2 linked regions of the Anolis sagrei genome follow. The protein of the gene in region 1 interacts with the protein of each later gene in a pairwise test. Links are inferred from orthologs where the notes say so. Each region holds a gene or a part of one and is shown on either strand. Other genes may lie near its edges.

Region 1 (7,653 bases):
ATAGACATGGGACATCCATTGGAGGTTTACTATTTTTAAAAATGATGCTCTGAGATGCGCTGGACCTCGTAAGTGCTGATGTGAATATATGAATGTGCGAACAAGCAGATGTCATGTCATTGTCTCTCCTCACCTTCCAGCTGCCTTTACTTTTTCACTCTTGAACTCTGCTTCCCTTTGAGGTCACTGGTGCCCACTATGCTGGTGCCCACTGTGTAAACCACATACTGTGTAAACCACCAGCATGTGCCCACCACATGCTGGTGCCCACTTTATAAATTCAAACTCTGTTTAATTTCATAAATATGAGAACAAGGGAAAGGTTGCAGAGAGTTCTTATGAGAATTGCTTTCCAATTGTGCTTCCATTCAGCCACCTGTGTGTCTGTGGCTCCATCTGTTTATGGTCCTCATCAACTGTTTGGGGATTTAAAAATATGCACATGTGCTGGAGCAGTCCACACCAGCATATAGCAACAAAGTCATGTATTTTTCTTAACTGCAGGGATATACAGTGATGCAAATATGCACATTCTTCGGCCAAAGTTGGATGTTAAGTACACCTTTTAAAAATGTTTTTAAGCTGTTAGTGTGATCTAGTGTGAATTTTTGGCAAATGTCATCTAGCCTCCCCCCCCCCCCCCCCTTTATCCCAGTGTTGTCTGCATTTTTGGGCCCAGAGAGATGCATGGCTGCTGCTAGCAACATTTGGAAACATTAGGGTTTTTGCATAATACTACAACTCAGTTGCTGTGCACAGCTAGTTGCCCTATTCTAGGGAAGGTGAACAAAACTGTTGTCATGTACCTTCTGAGAAGAACAGATGGCCCTTCTCACCTAGCGGTAGCTATTTCCATGTTACTTCCTTGGAAAAGGAAGCAGGGCTGCTGAGAAGGGGCAACAGGCCAGATGCTTGGTTGCCCAGCTCCTCTAATTTTAGCAGGGCTTTATACCCACTTTGTGTTGAAATATCAAAACATTATTTTATGTTGTATTGTTTGCTTTCTCACCATCTGACCCTGACTTGGTGGATTCTGGGGCTTGTATTCCAAAAAAGTGGGGTTGTTCAAGTTTTTCTGGCTTGTACATTAATAGTGATTATGTCTGCTAGGGTTTTTTTCCGTATATTCTTATTTGATACTAGCCATCCCCTGCCACGTGTTGCTGTGGCCCAGTCTGTGAATATGTGTTTTGAGTGTATATATTTGTGTATTTGTGTATATATGTGGTTATGCACATGCATTGTATTTTTTTTATTTTCTTGTTTTTAAGTCCCTTCCGCTATGTTTTTCAGTGTTTTATGAGTGATGGTCACTCGTTGGCCTGATTGCGTCCAAATTTGGTGTCAATTTGTCCAGTGGTTTTTGAGTTATGTTAATCCCACAAATGAACATTAATTTGTGGGATTAACATAACTCAAAAACCACTTTTATTTATATAGATTAGGTTTATAGTTAGGCTGTATTATATTGTTTGATGTATTTTGTTTTTGATGTAATTTGTTGATATGCTTCTTTGTTAGCACTGAATGCTTGCCATATGTTTTGAAAACTGCCAAGTCCTCGGGGAGATAGGGCAGTCTATAAATAAAGTTTATTATTATTATTATTATTATTATTATTATTATTATACTAAAATAATTAATTTGGGGTGATGTGGATGAGAAACCACTCTTGATCTGAAATTGAAATCCTAGCAAACCCCTCCCCCCCGCCTCACCTTTGCACGTATATATATAAATGCCCCCAGTGGCACAGCGGGTTAAACCACTGAGCTGCTGAACTTGCTGACCGAATCTGTGAAGTGGGATGAGCTCCCGGTGTTAGCTCCAGCTTCTGCCAACCTAGCAGTTTGAAAACATGCAAATGTGATTAGATCAATAGATACCACTTCTGCAGGAAGGTAATGACCTCACTACTTCTGAGGATGCTTGCCATAGATGCAGGTGAAACGTCAGGAGAGAATGCCTCTAGAACATGGCCATATAGCCCAAAAAAACCTACAACAACCCAAGGTAATGACACTTCATGCAGTCATGCTGGCCACATGACCTTGGAGGTAGCTATGGGCAGAGGCGGCCCTAGGTAATTTTCAACGGTAAGCAAACAGTATCCCCCCCCCCCCCCCAACCAATCACTGATATATATTTTCTGTTCATCGTGGGGTTTCTGTGTGCCATATTTGGTTCAATTCCATCATTGGTGGAGTTCAGAATGCTCTTTGATTGTAGGTGAACTATACACCCTAGTAACTACAACTCGCATATGTCAAGGTCTATTTTCCCCCAAGAGCGCCTCAAGAGCACCCCTAGGCAAAATCAACTATACTGCGAATGCTTACTTTGCGTAATGGTTGAGCTGCCCCTGGCTATGGGCAACGCCAGCTCTTCAGCTTAGAAATGGAGATGAGCACCACCACCCCAGAGTCGGACATGACTAGACTTAATGTCAAGGGGAAACCTTCACCCTTACTATATAAATGTAGTCTTCTCTGCCAAGAGCGCTGGTGCACAATTCCCAGGATGCCATAGCATCTACACTGTAGAATTAATGCAGTTTGGCACTACTGTAACTGCTATGGCTCAACGCAGTTAAGTCCTGGGATCTGCAGCTTGACGAGGCACTGGCACTCTTTGGCAGAGAAGAAGAATGACCTTGTAAAACTTCAACTCCCAGGATACCATAGAATTGAACCATGGCGTCAAAACATTAATTCTACAGTACAGATGAGCCCAGAATTGACAGAGTAGCATGTATTATTTGATATCCAGCTTCTTTGTTGGTCCTAGTAAACATACCAGTTAAACTTGTCCAGTTATGCCATAGGCTATAACTATACCAGTGATGTGATAAGGAGAGTGGAATAGTGGAAACATTGAAGTGCTTTCCAAAACCCACAGTATGTTATCCGAGTATCTTTGAGGCTTCTCCATGACTAAAACTTTCCCATAACTTTTATTTTTGAAGTACAGGACACTCAAAGTTCAATAACTCTTTCTTGTAATAGCATAATCACTGAGATTTATATCATGCAGACGGATGTTTGCCATGAATTCAAAAAGTACAAATTAGTTTATTGGGTTCGTCTTGTATTGTGCCTTCATGCGATATGTCATCCAAAGAGCACATGTGGTCTAATTAACTAATTAAGAATACAGTTCTTAATTAAAACTAGCTTTTTACATATTATTTTTGTATATATACAACTGATTAATTTGCGTGTCAACACGCCTCAAATATGTGTCCTAGAAATCATGTACATACAAAAGCCTTTGATTTCCACAGACTCAATCTCATGAACGACTATGTTAATTAATTATTTAAAATTAATTAACTATAATGACATTATAGAATTCCAGATAATTCCAGACAAGAAACTATCAGGGCCAGCTAATCACCTCCCAACAAAGGATCCCCCCAAGTAGTAAGAAACCAGACCTTGAAACTGCTAGGCCATTAAATGCTAATCGAAGTGGCCAATTGCAGCATTCAAGCAAAGAGTTCTTTCTCCCACCCTGGACATTATTCCACAGATATATAAACCCTGTTTTCCTAGTTTCCAACAGACCTCGCAACCTCTGAGGATGCCTGCCATAGATGTGGGTGAAATATCAGGAGAGAATGCTTCTGGAACATGGCCATACAGCCCGGAAAACTCATGACCTCCCCTATAATTACATAACTATTCCTACACCACATTAACTACTAGTGGGACTTGTAGTTTGTTAAAATAGTGGGACTTGTAGTTTGGAATAGTGGGACTTGTAGTTTGTTAAAAACCAACACTCTTTGATGGAAAAAGCTAAAGACCTTGGCAAGGGGGCATCTACACTGTAGAATTACTTAATGCAGTTGGGCCACTGGGCTCAAGGCTATGCAATGGTGGGAGATGTAGTTTTCCAAGGCCTTTCTCCCTTCTCTGCCAAAGAGTGCAAACTACAATTACTTAATGCAGTTTGGGCACATGGACTCAAGGCTATGCAATGGTGGGAGACGTAGTTTTCCAAGGTTTTTCTCCCTTCTCTGCCAAAGAGTGTAAACTACAATTACTTAATGCAGTTTGGGCCACTGGGCTCAAGGCTATGCAATGGTGGGAGATGTAGTTTTCCAAGGTCTTTCTCCCTTCTCTGCCAAAGAGTGTAAACTACAATTACTTAATGCAGTTTGGGCCACTGGGCTCAAGGCTATGCAATGGCGGGAGATGTAGTTTTCCAAGGTCGTCCTCCCTTCTCTGCCAAAGAGTGCTGGAGCCCCACCAAACTATAAACCCCCATGACTGCATAGCATTGAAACTATATCAGTTTAAAGCGGTGTCAAATTGCATTAATTCTACAGCGTGGATGCATCCTTACTCCTAGGGAAATCTGCAACCTGATTCAAGAGAGGAGGGGAAGTCCCAGGAAGCCTTAGATCTTATCGCCGCCTCCTTTCATTGGCCATGAAAGGAGCCCGTGCTTCTTTAAAGAGGCCGCTGTTTTCGGTCAAAGAGATCAACAGGTTTCCCCCTCCCCCTGTCCTAATGCCGCTGCTGGCCCTTTAAATCGCACACAAGGGCAGCCCGGCAGCCCTCCGGTGTGCTGGGTTTGGAGACCAGCCTTGGCCTCGCTGCACCTCCCTCTCTCCCTCTATGGTAAGCGGCGTGGGCTTTCTCCCTTTCACCCCCCCCTCCCTTTCCTTTGGGGTATTTTTCCCCTTCTCTCTTTGGAGGTATTTATTATTTTGCTTTTCCAAGGTGTGACTTACAGGGGAAGTCCCTGGCTTGGGATCTTCAGTGGAATTGAAATTGTGAGCTTAGGTTGGACTTGATGGACAAGGTGCCACTTTCCACGCTGTTTTGGGGAGTGCGTCTCCACTGTAGAGTTAATGCAGTTCGACACCACTTTAGCTGCCAGGGCTCAATGGTATGGAATCATGGGAACTGTAGTTTTGCAATGTCTGTAGCCTTCCCTGCCAAAGAGTGGTATCAAACTTCAGCTCCCATGATTCCATAGCATTTAAAGTGGTATCAAACTGGATTTAATTCTGCAGTGTAGATGCACCCCTTATCCTCTAGGGGTGATAGACTTCCCAAGTGTTCTTCCAGTTTAGGGGGGAAAAAACCCCTTTTATCTCAATTCCTTATTAAAATAGTTCACTGTTTTTATAATAACATAAAAGGGGGTTGTGTAAATTAATATTAATATTTTAGTATTGATATTTCATAGGCCACACAGAGTGCCAACGTGGTTCAAGAAGCTGGCAGATGGGGCAGAAGCACAATAAGGCTTGGAGACATTGGCATCTTTCAATGTTAAATCCTTTATTCGTCAACCGATTTCAAAGGCGAATTGCCCTAACTGTAGACTTTGGGGAACCCCTGGTGGTGCAGTGGGTTAAACCGCTGAGCTGCTGAACTTTATGACCGAAAGGTCGCAGATTCAGATCCAAGGAGCGGGGTGTGCTCCCGCTGTTAGCCCCAGCTTCTGCCAACCTAGCAGTTCGAAAACATACAAATGTGAGTAGATCAATAGGTCCCTCTCCGGTGGGAAGGTGCTTCATGCAGTCATGCCGGTCATATGACCTTGGCGGTGTCTACGGACAACGCCAGCTCTTTGGCTTAGAAATGGAGATGAGCATCAATCCTGCAGAGTCGGACATGACTAGACTAAATGTCAAGGGAAAACCTTTACTTTTAGACTTTGATGAGACCTTTCCCTTACTTACATAGGCGATTCCTCATTGTCCGAGTAGGATTGTCTTCCAAGATCGGTGTCCTGGCGGTGGGTCCATAGGTGACTGTGGAGCCCTATTCTTGATCTGCATCTTCTCCCGCAGTGAGGGCATTGGTTTCCAGGTGGAAGGTGGTCCTGGTCAGGGTTGGCTTGACATGCCTTTCCCTTGGCACGTTTCTCTCTTTTGCCCTCCGTTCGTGCCTCTTCAAATTCTACAGCACTGCTGGTCACAGCTGACCTCCAGCTGGAGCACTCAGGGGCCAGGGCTTCCCAGTTCTCTTACACACTTACACCAATTTCATTTTTTGAAAGGATAGGTACAGAAGGGGAATTCCAGGAAGCCTGGAATGGAGAACTGAGGGCCTAGAAAACACTCTCAACTTCTCCACTAAGTCAATCCTTTGTTTACGGCAATGGTTCCTAACCTTTTTTTTGACCAGGAACCACCTTGACCAGGGACTACTCCAACATTAGTATGAAAAGGGCTATGAATCAGTTTTTGGTCAACTTTAGATTCGGTTTGGTTATTTGGGGTGCTGATTCAGATAATTGCATTGGATAGACCATATCAGCTCTAGTTTCTGATACAGAACATATGCCATCCAGTTGTCACCATCTGCTAGCCCACAGAAAACCATTTTTAATAATCTAGAGCTGATGTGGTAGTAGTAATTTTTCGTGGGTAGTCAGCCTCTCCCCTCCCAATATCCCTCTTGCCTCGGCACGATATAAATAGCAGGGGAGGTATTTTACGAAACCATAATAGAAAAAGACCAGAAAATACTGGTGACCAAAAGAAAGGAGGAAGTCGTGATGGCTCTTCGTCATAGAGGATGGAGCAACAGCACCCCCCTGTGGCTAGATTTGAGCACATCCTCCAAAGGCATCGAAAGCTGGATGTCAACACAACATACCTCCTTTTTGTCTGTTCTGTCCTTTTCTATCCGAACAACATTGAATGTTTACTGCGTATTTGTACTGTGATCTGCCCTGAGTCCCCTTAGGGAGATAGGGCGGAATATAAATAAAGTGTTATTTATATATCTGTTCATGTAGAGTGCATTGAGATCTCTCTCTGCTTGTGTGTACCAGGAGAGATGTAGTGCTCGGTGGTTTTCCCCTCTCTGAACCCTAGAAGAGATGGAGTATAGAATAGCTCAGACCCAGTTCTTTACTATGAAGAAATGTTACTATTTTTTAAAGTAAATAAACCTTTTGTACTGTTTAAGATTAAACTCTGCATTTTTGCCTCCTAAATTCGTTACAGCCACAGCACTTCATGTTCTGCTTGCTGTGAGCTGAATGCTCAACCGTAGGGTATCCCGTTTTGTATTTTGGGATGCTCTGCTGTCTTTGGGTAGTTTCCCCTCACAGATTTTTCATGGATTTCATTAAAATTTTCATTCTAGATTGTACAGTGTGACTCTAGGATCAGTTTTCTCCATTAATACTGGAGGACCTAGCGATTTCTAAGGAGAACATTTCTGTAGGAATCTCTAGATCCTCCAGTGCGATTCTATAGTCCAACAATAGTTGACAATAGAGCCACGCTGGAAGAGCTAGAAGTGCTTAGAGAAGTGTTTTTTCAGGTATAAGAATGGCAATTTCTTTAGTCGCTTTTGTGAGGGTCCTGCACTCCTAGACACAATGCATATGGAAGGCTGGCTCTAGATCAGGCATGGGCAAACTTCGGCCCTCCAGATGTTTTGTACTTCAACTCCCACAATTCCTAACAGCCAGTTACAGGCTGTTATGAATTGTGGGAATTGAAGTCCAAAACATCTGGAGGGCCGAAGTTTGCCCATGCCTGCTATAGATTCTGTAAGTTAGAATAAACATAATGACTAATCCTTCACCACTTTCACTCCATTGGATACAGGGCTGACATGTATGTTTAGATCTGTCAGTACTGGGGTCCTATAAACTGGGTGCTTTCCTTCTGAC
Region 2 (7,945 bases), on another chromosome or scaffold:
TATGTTACTGGAAGCCAGAGGATTAAGTGCTAAAATGCAGCAAGTGCATTCTTCTTTCTCTCTCCCTCTCTGCATTATTGTACCCACAATTATATTGTGTTGTGAAAGGCTTTCATGGACAGAATCACTGGGTTGCTGTGGATTTTTTGGCCTGTATGGCCATGTTCCAGTAGCATTCTCTGTCTCCGTTATTACCCTTTAATCCACAATGGTCAGTAGTATATACAGGGGATCAGATGTGCAGCCTCATCACACTAGAGTATGGATCCACTTTAAATCCAGTTTCTGCCTCCTTAAGAATTCTGGGTTTGTAGTTTATTTATTTATTTATTTATTTATTTAGGACATTTGGATCCTGTCCTATCTTGACCTCCGCAGAGGAACTCAGGGTGGCTAACAACCGGCACACCATGGTGCCCACAACCAAAAGCATAGATATACAATTTAAATAAAAACAATATAAAAACAGCATAAAAACATTCAAATAGTCGCCAATTTAAGTCATTGTCCTAAAAGCAGTCCATCAAGTCCATTAAAGCTGTCATTCTGCCAGCAGGTCAGCCTAGTCTGCAAAGGCCTGATCCCATAGCCAGGATTTCACTTGTTTCCGAAAGGTCAGGAGGAATGGAGCAGATCTAATTTTATTTGGGAGGGAGTTCCACAGCCGAGGGGCCACCACAGAAAAGACGCTGTCCTTTGTCCCCACCAAATGTGATTGCAATGATGGGGGGACAACGAGCAGGGCCTCCCTGGATGATCTTAGGGTCCTAGGTGGATTGTAGCGGGATATACATTCGGACAATGTATAAATATGTGAGGGGAAGTCATAGGGAAGAGGGAGCAAGCTTGTTTTTTGCTGCCCTGGAGACTAGGACATGGACAATGGCTTCAAACTACAGGAAAGGAGATTCCACCTGAACATTAGGAAGAACTTCTTAACTGCGAGAGCTGTTCTGCTCCGGAGAGCTCTCTGCCCCGGTGTGTGGTGGAGGCTTCTTCTTTGGAGGCCATCTGTCAGGGGTGCCTTGAAGGCGATTTTCCCTCGTCTTGGCAGGGGGTTGGACAACTGGATGGCCCACAAGGTCTCTATGATTCTATGAGACCCAGGATCTCTTTGGCTGAGCAATTTAAAGGCCCTAAACTATAAGCCCCAGAATTCTGCAGGAGGCAGAAACTGGATTTAAAGTGGATTCATGCTCTAGTGTGACGAGGTCTGATTATAGCCAATAGACAATGATAGCCAATAGACAATTATAGCCAATAGAGAGATTGCCTTTTTATAGCAGCTGCACATGATGCTATCATTGAGCTATCTACTAAGATCGCTTTCTTGGTCACTCATTGATCAGCAGGAATCTTGACAATGTAAATGCAAATTAGGGATCATTTACCCCAAAGTGTTAGATGAAGCCATTTGCTTTAGCAGATGAACTCAAGTTGCACATTTAAAGAATGTTCCTCAATACAACTATTAAAAACATATCACGTATTTCAGTTACGATCCCTTCTACTAAAAATATTACTATCTACAAACTATTAATGTTTATTGTGAAGTTCAGTGGTGAATGTAGCATAGCAATAGCAGCAGCAATCCACTTTTACAAGTGTATTTAGAGGACAGCAGAACGTAATAGCAAAGGATTTGTTGTTGTTCATTCGTTCAGTCATCTCTGACTCTTCGTGACCTCATGGACCAGCCCACGCCAGAGCTCCCTGTCGGCCGTCACCACCCCCAGCTCCTTCAAAGCAAAGCAAAGGATACTGGACTTATTAAAAAAAATAGAAATACAAAGTATTTTGGAGACTATAACTTTTTGAGTGCTTATTTCAAGCCCAAGGCGTGTATGAAAAAAACAATTTTAATTTTAATTTGGAAATCTCACTGTAAATTATGCTGCAGTTCAGCAAACAGCTCTTGCCTTCACTCAGTAATCACCATAATTTTGTAAAGAATCAGAGCAAAGGCTGATCTAGTCTAACATTGTTTGTACAGCGGCTAATTAGATGCCAACGGAAAGCCATATCAGGAAATGAATGCATTAGTATTCCCTGCTTATGTCCCCTAGCAACAGGTACACAGAGGCATACTGATTTGGAGACTGTAATATATAGCCACCATGCCTAGTAGCCATTTTTAGCCCTTTGCTCCATAAATTACTTTAAACTTTTTAAATACTCATCCAAGATGGTAGCAAATGTTCTAGTTTTACTATGCACTATGTAAAGAAATACAATACAATCCCCTTATCCATGGGGTGGATATCCAGTTTCACTTCTCCCTGCTCCAAAACATATTCTACCTGGGAGTGTTGGCGGACCTCTCTCTCCAACGTGATTCTATGATATGCTTCCTGCTGAAATATAGTCAAAATGTAGGGTTTGCTATTAGCCACAGTTTAAGACATCCATAGGAGTCTTGGAACATATCCCCTGAGGATAAGGAGGTCATACGGTACTACTTTTTATCCATTCTTAATCTACAATTACATTTGGTTTCATTAGATTACCCTAGGTTCTAGTACTGCGAGAAATATCTGACTCATTTCTCTATTTTTTTGTGGGCACATTATGTCCGATTTATAGGGGCCTGAAGGGAGGATTTTCTTGGCAAGATTTGTTCAGAGGAGGTCTGCCTTTGCTATTCTCTGAGGCCTCTTTTACACTGCCATATAAAATCCAGAATATCTGCTTTGAACTGGATTATATGGCAGTGTAGACTCATATAATCCAGTTCAAAGCAGATAATGTGGATTATCTGATTTGATAGAAGCTTCAGTGCTGCAATGGGTTAAACCCTTGTGCTGGTTGAACTGCTGACCTGAAGGTCGGTGGTTTGAATGTGCGAGGTGGGGTGAACTCCCATCTGTCAGCTCCAGCTTCCCATGTGGGGACATGAGAGAAGCCTCCCACAGGATGGTAACACATCCAGGCGTCCCCTGGCCAAATACACAGTATTTCAAATTTAAAAGTCTCACCATAGATTTCTGTAGGGAAATATATTGGTAGTTTTATTTCCAACTCCTTTTCTAGATTTCACTCTCAGGCCCTTTCCACACAGCTGCATATATCCCAGTTCAAAGCAGAAAATGTGGGATTTTATTCAGCTGTGTGGAAGGGGCCTTGAAATGAACCTCATAAGACATTTTAATACACATCCCTGCAGTATAAACAGCCTTTTCGCTCTTTGCAACCTTTTTTGTTCTAAGTACCTAAATAATTTGGCATCCCCAGAAAATCCTGACTATATTCTTGCTCCTCCCAAGTTTTTTAGGAAGTTAAAAAGTCCCAGAGACCATGATTATATCCCTCCATTATGAGCACCCACTATTATGGCAACCCCACGAATCTCATGTTTGTTTTTTTCAGGCAGGGGATACTTGGGGTGGTTTTGCCAGCACCTTCCTCTGAAATAGAGCCTATAGACAGGCATGGGCAAACTTGGGCCCTCCAGGTGTTTTGTACTTCAACTCCCACAATTCCTGGCCTCAGACCCCTTCCTTTTCCCCCTCAGTTGAGGCCAGGAATTGTGGGAGCTGAAGTCCAAAACACCTGGAGGGCCCAAGTTTGCCCATGCTTGGTATAGCACCTATATTTGTTGGCAATATCCCATCCAAATACTCACTAGCGCTCACCCTCTTTAGCTTCTGAGATCAGATGGTGACTGGTGCCTTTTGGGGTGTTGAGGCAGGTCACTTCTTCTCTCTACCAAACTCTGGTCCTCCAGATGTTTTCAACTTCATCTCCTAGAACTTTAACAGATTGCTAAAGGCAGCTGAAGCTTCTGCGAGTTGGCAGTGCTAAACATTGGGTATTTAGCTGGTTCTCCTTACGCTTCCTAGAACCTGTCTCCTCTCCATCCCTTTCCTCCTGCTCTCTGCCAAACTGTGGTCCTCCAGGTGTTTGGGACTTCATCTCTGAGAATCCCTGATAGTTAGTCAAGGCAGCTGAGGCTTCTGGGAGATGAAGTCCCAAACACCAGGAGGAGGAGGAGGAGGAGGAGGCGAGTTTGGGAGCCCCTACTTTGGGATATTTACCTGGTTCACCTTACTCTTCCTAGAACTCGGCTCCTCCCTATCCCTTTCCTCCTGATCTCTGCCAAACTGTGGGACTTCATCTCCCAGAATCCCTGATAGTCAAGGCAGCAGAGGTTTCTGGGAGATGAAGTCCCAAATACTAGGAGGAGGAAGAGGAGGAGGAGTGTTTGGGAAGCCCTGCTTTGAGGTATTTAGCTGGTTCACCTTACCCTTCCTAGAACCCGGCTCCTCTCCATCCCTTTCCTCCTGATCTCTGCCAGACTGTGGTCCTCCAGGTGTTTGGGACTTCATCTCCCAGAATCCCTGACAGTTAATTAAGGCAGCTGAGGCTTCTGGGAAATGAAGTCCCAAAAACCAGGAGGCGAGTTTGGGAACCCCTGTTTTGGGGTGTTTAGCTGGTTCATCTTTCTTACCCTTCCTAGAACCCAGCTCCTCTCCATCCCTTTCCTCCAGGTGTTTTGTACTTCAACCCAGAATCCCCGATAGTCAAGGCAGCTGAGGTTTCTGAGAAATGAAGTCCCAAACACCTGGAGGAAGAGGGGGAGAGGAGAGTTTGAGACCCCTGCTTTGGGATGCTTAGGCGGGCCACCAGGGCCCTCTTCTCCCAGAGCCAGACTCATCTGCCATCCTCTCCTCCTCTTCCTTTCCCCACTTTCCCCAAACTCTAGTCCTCCTGTGGACGACCTCTCCCAGCATCCTTGATGATTGTGCAAGGCTGCCGAGACCTCGGGGGGGGGGGGGGGGGCGAGCGTGGGTGAAGCCCTGCTTGGGGGCCTTGGGGCGGACCTCGCAGGGCCCAAAGGCGCCCTCCCCTCTCCTTCCCGGGCTCCGTGGGCGGGGCCAGGAGGGCTCCCTCCCGCTGGGCGTCCCCACCGGCGGCGAAGAGAGGCCCGAGCTGGCTCCATCCGCCAAGAGGGCTGGCTGGCTGGCCTTGGGAGGAAGAGGAGCAGGAAGGAAGGCAGGCAGCGGGGGAGCGGCTTTGCCTTTGCGCTGCGCCAGGACTCGCCGGGAGACAAGGTGCGCCGAGGGGGAGCCCTGCAGGAAGGGAGGTGGGGGGCGCAGGGGAGAGCGGGGCCCTTCTTTCCATGGTGGGGATCCAGCCTGGCTTCTTGACCCATTTCAAGAGGCCGGGAAGGACCCGCGACTCGCCCGGCAAACTTCCAGAAAGTGGGTCCCCCCCCCCCCCCCCCCGCCTTGCCTCCCTTTGTCTCTCCGGATGTCTTTGTGAGGCAAGGAAGTGGCCTGCTCAGCCCACGGGTTGAGTCAGATTGCAAAGCAGCCAAAGGTTAACCTGGTTCACATTTCTCTTAAAATCTCCCTGGGAGGGAATCTCTAACTCATGATTTCGGGATCCAGGTGTGGTCTTCTGCCCCTGCGGCGGGTTTTTCCTCCTCTTCCCTTCTTGTAAATCTCAGGCGGTCTACGTTGGGTGGGCTGCCTTGCTTTGTTTTGGGAATGGGAAAGATCACCCAGCCCAACAACAAAACATTCCTGGTTTCTAAGGGGAGGGGGAAAAGGAAGGGGCCTGAGGCCAGGAATTGGGGGAGTTGAAGTTCAAAACACCCGGAGGGCCCAAGTTTGCCCATGCCTGTCTATAGGCTGTATTTCAGAGGAAGGTGCTGGCAAAACCACCCCAAGTATCCCCTGCCTGGAAAAAAATGAAATTCATGGGGTTGCCATATTTAGGGTGCCCACTGGATAGACCGCATCACCTTTAGTGTCTTAGGCAGGCACGGGCAAACTTGGGCCCTCCAGGTGTTTTGGACTTCAACTCCCACAATTCCTAACAGCCTACCGTTGAAGTCCAAAACATCTGGAGGGCCCAAGTTTGCCCGTGCCTGCTCTTAGATATCGTTGTCAAGATTTCTTATGGGCAGGCAGATGGCGACTGGTAAATAGTACATATTCCCCAAATAAATAGTTCCCCAAATAATTCGCCCCCCCCCAATTTGATCCATAATCAGATCCCTTTTAGAGACATAGTGCTCCCCTTACATTGCCACCAAGTTTCTAATCTTGTCATCTGCCCTCAGCACTTGATCCATCAGCCCCAACCCCTTTGCAAGGGATTTGCACCAGCCGCCGCCTGAGCTCAGAACTGTGCACTACTCAGACCACCTGATCTTATTTTTCTGGTTATTTAATATTTAATGTTTATTTTACTTAAGTGGTATTTGTCTTTACTGTTCTAATGTAGCACAAATCCGATGTAAAATCATACTACGTATTTTTGACATTAATATTGAAATCTGAAATATATACAGAAACTCCTTGCTAGATAGATGTTTGCTATGTATTGTATCACACGTGGTTGTTTCTATACTGTTGAGATGCTTTTGTGAATTTTGTTGTTATATTTTAACTACTAGCTGTACCCACCATGCATTGCTGTGGCCAATCTTCCTCTTTCTTTCCTTTCTTTCTCTCATTCCTTCCCTCTCTCTTTCCTTCTTTCCCTTTTTTCTTTCCTTCTTTCCTTCCTTCTCTTGATCTTCCCTTCCTCCCCCCTTTCTATTCCTTACTCTTTCTCTCATTTCTTCCTTCTCTACCTATTCTTGGACTGCAGCTCCCACCAGTCCTTTTGATCAATCTACCTACCTACCTATCTCCATCTAATCTATCTATCTATCTGGAGGATTGCTGGGAGTTGCACTCCAGGAATAGGAAATTGTAAATATGCAGGAATTGGGATGCTCTCAAAGAAATCTAGGGAGAAGAAAGCTTTGTATCTTAGAAGCAGTGCATTTGGATCATCCTCCTCTCCTAAAGGGCCTGGTCTAGGGAATGCTGGGAGCTGTCATCCGGAAGAGAGTGTGGATATGCTATTGTGTGTTTTGTTTAGTGGGGGGGGGGGGGTGTGGGAGGGAGTTTTTATGAGTGATGGTCACTCGTTGGCCTGATAGGCATATTGTGTCCAAATTTGGTGTCAATTTGCCCAGCGGTTTTTGAGTTATGTTCATCCCACAAACAAACATTACATTTTTATTTATATAAATGTGGAATCTCGAGCATGTAAGCCACCCCAAGTCCCTTCAGGGAGATGGAGGCAGGGTACAAAAATAAAGTTGTTGTTGGTGGTGTTATTATTCTGTATTTCAAAAACTAGATCCAATGAGAAAAAAATTGTGCCATCTTTGGAATCAGTAGGTCAAATCTACAGAGAAACAGGGCTAACATTTGAGGCACCAAAATATGTGTGGCCAGTGTAATCTTTCTCTGCCCACACCTAGCCAAGCTTGTGGTTCTCAACCTGGGGTCCCCAGATGTTTTTGGCCTTCAACTCCCAGAAATCCTAACAGCCGGTAAACTGGCTGGGATTTCTGAGAGCTGAAGGCCAAAAACATCTGGGGACCCCAGGTTAAGAACCACAGACAGTCCCCCAGTTACAAAGTTTTACAAAGTCCCCAAGTGTTTCCACTTTCATAGGTGTCCTGAACCCTTAACCTCACCAAATGAGGAAGGAAGGATGGCTGTACAGGAAGTCCCCAAGTTACAAGCAACATAGGTTCTGTAGGTTTGATCATCAGTTGAATTTGTATGTAAGCCGGAACAGGTAAATTTTAAAGTATAACTCCTGCCTACACACACACACATGCATTCACACACATATGCATATACATACAACTTTGGCTAGCATAGGGAAGGGTTAACAGCCCTGTGGTGTTTGTTTTGCTGTATGTTCCCCTGTTGAGAAGATGTCACCTCACTTTCTGTCCCTGTAGTAATTTGATTTTGAAAAATGTGGCTTAGTAACAAGGATTGGTAAGAAAACTTCAGTTGAGACACCTTTTCCCCATGATAACTTTTTCAGGGGTGAACTTCCCTTCCAAGGGGTAGATTTTTCTCACTTCCTGTTGTCTTATCCCCGTTCATAAATATGCGTCATTTGTAAGTTGGATGTTTGTAACTCG

Evidence for each region.
Region 2: the proteins of GRAMD1C (region 1) and CD151 interact in binary tests that used the Homo sapiens proteins (3 or more experiments, as listed by UniProt). The link is inferred for Anolis sagrei from reciprocal best matches to the Homo sapiens genes GRAMD1C and CD151.

The regions. Positions count from the first base shown.
Region 1 is NC_090023.1:40,433,551-40,441,203, reverse strand, and holds the start of GRAMD1C (protein Aster-C), read left to right. Parts: upstream 1-4,525; 5' UTR 4,526-4,625; coding exon 4,626-4,628; intron 4,629-7,653. UniProt on the Homo sapiens protein: Cholesterol transporter that mediates non-vesicular transport of cholesterol from the plasma membrane (PM) to the endoplasmic reticulum (ER).
Region 2 is NC_090021.1:241,271,500-241,279,444, forward strand, and holds the start of CD151 (CD151 antigen), read left to right. Parts: upstream 1-4,870; 5' UTR 4,871-5,051; intron 5,052-7,945. UniProt on the Homo sapiens protein: Structural component of specialized membrane microdomains known as tetraspanin-enriched microdomains (TERMs), which act as platforms for receptor clustering and signaling.